2 linked regions of the Drosophila melanogaster genome follow. The protein of the gene in region 2 interacts with the protein of the main gene of each other region in a pairwise test. Each region holds a gene or a part of one and is shown on either strand. Other genes may lie near its edges.

Evidence for each region.
Region 1: the proteins of CG2021 (region 2) and CG10418 interact in a two-hybrid assay, tested with the Drosophila melanogaster proteins (2 studies listed by BioGRID).

Annotation. Positions count from the first base shown.
Region 1 is NT_037436.4:12,334,896-12,337,825, forward strand, and holds CG10418 (uncharacterized protein), read left to right. Parts: upstream 1-1,780; 5' UTR 1,781-1,819; coding exon 1,820-1,822; intron 1,823-1,883; coding exon 1,884-1,951; intron 1,952-2,014; coding exon 2,015-2,231; 3' UTR 2,232-2,341; downstream 2,342-2,930. Other genes in the region: Lmx1a (LIM homeobox transcription factor 1 alpha), read left to right, coding at 1-190, 265-524.
Region 2 is NT_037436.4:1,776,352-1,779,235, reverse strand, and holds CG2021 (uncharacterized protein), read left to right. Parts: upstream 1-1,824; 5' UTR 1,825-1,905; coding exon 1,906-2,193; 3' UTR 2,194-2,226; downstream 2,227-2,884. Other genes in the region: alpha-Spec (alpha spectrin), read left to right, coding at 1-54; mRpL46 (mitochondrial ribosomal protein L46), read right to left, coding at 944-1,720; PolD2 (DNA polymerase delta subunit 2), read right to left, coding at 2,260-2,884.

The sequences.
Region 1 (2,930 bases), about 11 Mb from region 2:
TCCGGCGGAGGATCGGGCAGTGGGCGTGGCACGGGCAATTCCAGCGCCACCGACGATAAGGACACCAATGACAAGGAGGACAAGTGCGTCAAGCAGGAGCTCGGAGGAGATAGCTCCGGTTATTTGGGTGGATTGGACAGCACTTTCGCCAGCCAGCCGCTGAATCCCAATTTGCCCTTCTCACCGGATGGTAAGTGGTTCGATTTGAAGTTTGATTTCGTCCAAGCATTATTCTACAAGTACTAATGGCTTGCTTTTCAACAGACTATCCGGCCAACTCGAATGACAGCTTCTGCAGCTCGGACCTCTCGCTGGATGGGAGCAACTTTGACCAGTTGGATGACGATGCGGACTCGCTGTCGCTGAACAACCTGGAGCTGCAGTCCACCAGCTCGTCGGGCAACCAGCACTCGCACTCCCACTCGAATCCCCACGACATGCTGGCCAACCTGAACAACAGCCTGATAAACCCCATCGACAAGCTGTATCTCATGCAGAACTCGTACTTCAGCTCGGAGCATTAGATGGCCATTGGCTGGAATGACAGGGAAGCACCGAGGCGATCGTGGGATAGAGACGAATTTATTAGCGTTAGAGTGGCAGGATCCGATGGAAAAGGGACGCGAGGTCCTTGCTGTTACTTTAAAACGTAGCGCGTAGTTGGCACCTTCCGCATTCGGCGCATTAAGTTGGAGTCGTAGAACCGGATACAAGATACATCAAATGTGATTTTTTTAAGCTAATTGAAATTTTAAGATTCTTGGCGATTTGAAGGCGCAGAAAAACGGGGCGGGCAGCACATCTTTTTGTTGGTATAGACTCTAGAGGCAAACCAAAAAAAAAAATGTATAACTCCTTGAGAAATGGCAAAGTGGTCAATGCGCCCTCTTATGTTTGTAAATAGTTTTAACCACCCGAGAAAATTGTTATTAAATGTAATTTAAAAGTCAATAATTGTATTAGCAAGTGCAATTTAATCTGTTCCCCTAAAATATACATCTTAACCGAATTCTTGCAAATGTCTGTGGATCTTATCTTCGAATTAACGGATGCGTTCAATATTTTAAATGGGTTGGGATTGACTTGCGATTGTTAATATTTTTATTTCGCATGATTTTCCTTTATTTCTTATTTTTTATCCTTCGTCTTTTATCGGTAATATCGTCTCTTATTTTAAAAAATTAATTTTTTTTTTATATAATTGTAAGAATATTTATTTATTTATTTCGTATTTATTTACACAGCCTAATTTATTTTAAATTTTTTATTTGCCGTATTATCGAAAAATCCATTTAAGATGCGTTGATGCTTGATAATAAATAAAGAGCACAATAACTAAAAAGAAAACTTATTGCGTTTACTGTATTTACTCGACTGCGAATATATACACCTTTTTTTTGTGAATACTATGAATGCCTTAGTAAAGCTTCATAAATTGACCGAAATATATTATTTAAAAACCATATTTTTTTGCCCGCCAAAATGCTGCCCGTACAAAGCTGGCTTTTATGAAACTCGACCAATAGCGACGACAAAGCGTTGCCACATGGATAGAAATAATTAACAGATGGCAGCTCAGCTACTGCTTAATTCCTTTTAAGCCACACAGTTTAAAGATTTAATATACATTAATTTTTGATCAAATTTTATGAAAGTAATATTTATAAGCCAAATGTTAATAGAATATCGTTACTCACAATCACACATGAAATGTATCGATATGTATTTTTTAAAACAGCGATCGATAGTTTTTTATTTTTACAGTGCACATCTCTAAAAAAAAACAACGCGTTCGTCGAAATTGCAATAAACAATAACAATGGTACAAAACCGAAATAACTGTGAATTTAAGAATTAACATTAACGCTTTATGTAATCTGCAGCTCTTTTACTCCTTCTTCAAGTCGCTGGTGGGCAAGGAAGTCGTTGTGGAGTTGAAAAACGACCTCAGGTGAGATTCGTTTATTTGCCGGTAAATTGAGGAATTTTTAATACTTTCTTTATAATTAAACAGCATATGTGGCACCCTGCACTCGGTGGATCAGTACCTGAACATCAAGCTGACGGATATCAGTGTCACAGATCCGGACAAGTACCCCCACATGCTGAGCGTCAAGAACTGCTTCATCCGTGGCTCCGTGGTGCGATACGTGCAGCTGCCGGGCGACGAGGTGGACACCCAGCTGCTCCAGGATGCGGCGCGAAAGGAGGCTGTTGTGAGCACAAGATAAGAATACCACTACCAGCAGCCCAATTGGATCTACCCATTGCTTCGTAAACTGTCCTAAAAACCTAAGTGAAATTCTGTTAAAGCAAAACCAATAAGAGGAATCCCCGTATTAAGTCGCTATGTACGTTATTTACGGCCCATCAGTTTTCGATGAGTCAGTCTCGAGGTTACCGTGGGTGCTGCTCCCTACGCTTGCGCAAATGTCCCAGCTTTTATCGCTCCACGCTTGAATGGAGCCAGTAGAGCCAAGTGTGGCTTGTGGGCCAAATTTTGTGTCATGTTGATAATGGTCCATAAATTTGTATAATTGCTGTGACGATGTACTGGCTGTCTGAATGTCTGGATGCCTTGTCTACACATCACCGGATACACGGACTCATTCATACAAGGTTTCCACAATGGGTTGCTATATCACACGACTATACTCGTATGTACTTGCAGCCCGTTTTACGATTGTGATTGCTATTATGGCCCGGCCCTCGAATTCAACCTTTTATCCGCAATAAAATGGAGGAGCCTGGCGGAATGCTTTTAATTTTCTGGACCTCGACCCGCTCCTTAAGTGCCTCTTCGCCAGCCGCCATCGAATGGCTTTGTTTGCTGGAATTCGTACTTAAAATAAAATACGCATTCGTGGAACACTTTTCGCTCGGCATTTACATTTCGGAATGGCCAGGGAATCGCGTTCTAAACTTTGGCA
Region 2 (2,884 bases):
ATCAAGGATGCCCTGGACTACATAGACTTCACGCGAACGCTGTTCCAGAACTAAAGAGCCTGCATTGTCTTATTTAGTGGCGCCTGAGCATATGTCTTACAATTTAAAGTATATTTCTAAAAACCAACAAAACACAAAAAAAAATCAAACAAAAATATATATTTACACCATTATTTTCGATAATTTAGTCTCTAAGTCAAACAGTTTAATGCTTATTTAAGAACCTATGCCACAATGAACCTTAAATCAACAATAGCACCTTGCAATACATATTTATCAACATGACTATGAACCATTTCTAGTTTTTGCATTTATTTATCAACAGCCCAATGAGAAAGTATCTTAAATTTTGACGTTTCAGTTTGAGAATTGGCTACGCGTCCGGTCGCCGAAGAAGATATCTAATCGAGAACATTGTCACAGTAATTTGATCAACTTGCGCCTGAAAAGCAGATAAAAAGCTTAGCTTCCAGTAATCGAGCACACATTTTCAATATTGAATGTCTGTAACTTGTAACGAACATAGATACAACTGATATACCAAAAAGATTTAAGATACTCTTGCTACCAGAAATGCATAATAACCAGCCTTTTATGTTTCCTCCAGTTTCTACGTGTATTCGAAACGAAAGTAGTAAGCTTTTTCAAAGCAGAAAAAAAAAAGAAAAACAAAACAATAAATATTTGCCTCTGTATTGGACGTATATTTACAACTCGTGAATTGCAAAAATAAATATATTGCTGCATGTCTAAATATGTTAAATGAGTGGAGTTTTTATTAAAAATTCAGGGGAGTCTGTAATCTGATTTTGCAGAAGGAAGTTGGCAAAAGTATCAGCATCTCACCAGATTCTTCTCAAATGAAAGGCAGCTAGTAGATAGATATTCCTCTGAAGTATTTTTATTTATTTGTTAGATATCAAAACAATTTTAACAATTACGATTACAACAAGAACTTTTTAACGCTTTGGGCATAGGCTGTATTGGTCAGCTTTTCATTGAGCGCCTCCTTGGGAAGCCACTCGAACTTGGTCAGATTTTCGGGCACCTGGCCGGACCGCAGGGATGCTCTGTAGAAGAAGACCTTGGCTCCGACAGTCTCCGTCCGCTGGTTTCTGGGATACTTGTATTTGTGGAAGCCCACTGGGGCGTTGCCGTAGAAAAGAACCTGCAGCTCCTGGCCGCAACTCTCGCGGAGCACTCTTTCTGCAGTCTGACGCATGGACTCTCCCTCCTCACGCTTTCCCTGCGGTAGAATGAGGTGCTCCTGCTGGCCCAGCTTCTGCTGTACCAAAAGGTAGAGCGTGTCATCCAGACAGCGGTCCGTGGAGGTGGTTCTGTTGGCCTGGTCATCGGGCGTGGTGCGGGAGCCCAACTGGAACTTTTTTAGCTCCTCGACGTAGGCGTCCTTGAGGTCCTGAGCTGTCTGCTTGGATCCTGCGTCCTCCAAGTCCACCTGGATCTTGCCCTGCTTTATGAGCTCCGCCTGGACGATCTCACGTTCATGCTTGAGTTCATGGTCAGACTTCAGGCTGTTTTCGTACTCCACGCGCCATAGCAAGTCTTGGAACTGTTTTTCCAGCGGATTAAGGGACTTGGACACCACAGGGAGACGCTCTACGAGCACTCCGGCGTACAGGTCCCACTTTTCCGCGCTGGCGGTTGACGATTGGGCTCGGCTCAACTCCCGGGCACCCACTTGGACAATGCGACGCAGCATTTTAATCAGTTTAATTTAATTTTTTCGGAAAATAGAATGTTGACCACCGATTACATGAGCACCAGAGCCGGAACAGCTGATTTGCGGCACAGTTATCGTTATCGGAGAGCGCGTCGCTAGCCTCTTGCCACAATTAGTATTTATTTTGTTCTGTTTGGAGAAGTTATCAAGGAAAGACTGCTAAAATGTCCGGTCTGGAGTCGTATATCAATCACACAGTCTCCATCATTACGGCAGACGGACGGAACTTCATCGGGACACTCAAGGGATTCGACCAGACCATCAATATCATCATAGACGAGTGCCATGAGCGCGTCTTCTCTACCACCTCCGGCATCGAGCAAATCGTGCTGGGACTGCACATCATCCGGGGGGACAACATCGCGGTGATCGGACTGATAGACGAGACCATCGACTCCCGCCTGGATTTGGCCAACATTAGGGGCGAGCCGCTGGGTCCCGTGGTGCACTAGGATAGCGAATAAAACCAGTGATTCTCAAGACTTAACAGGGTGTATTATTTGTATTAATGAAGTTTCTTATTCTGCATCTACGCTAAAGTTGACCATGCGGCAATCCAGCGTATCCAGGTCAACGACGGCCACACTCTGTGTTTTGCTAAAACTGGGCACGCAGACTAGGCGGGTGCGCTTGCCTTCGGAACCCTCGTGCAGCTCGGTCGCAAACGACTCGCAGTTGCCGGCGTAGTAAACGTGCGGACACTCGCGCAGGATGAAGGGATCACTTTCGATGTACGGGTAGCACGCTAGAGTGTCCGGTGCAGTGGGAGCAACATGTCCCCAGGTGAGGGTGCAGCGAAGGGCCTCCAGCGCCGAGTCCAGCGAAGTGCTGCGCAACAGATCCGATACATTCTGGCCAGATGTGCCTACCACCAGGGCCTCATCCAGCCGGCAGCTGTACGGATTAGTCACCGCCTGGAAAGTTGCCAGTTGAGCAGCCTGGGGAAACATGCACTTGTGGAACGGCTGCTGGGGCAGCATAAAGTTGGCCGGGTCGTAGGGTCCCGGCATTATGTCGACGGGCAGACTGCGTGCCCATGAGGCAAACCACTGGTCTAGCTGGGAAACGGCCTGGACTGTGTCATTTGCGTTCGCCTGGGTGCGTGCCACCTGTAGGGTGGGCACATGTGCCATGGCACTGGCT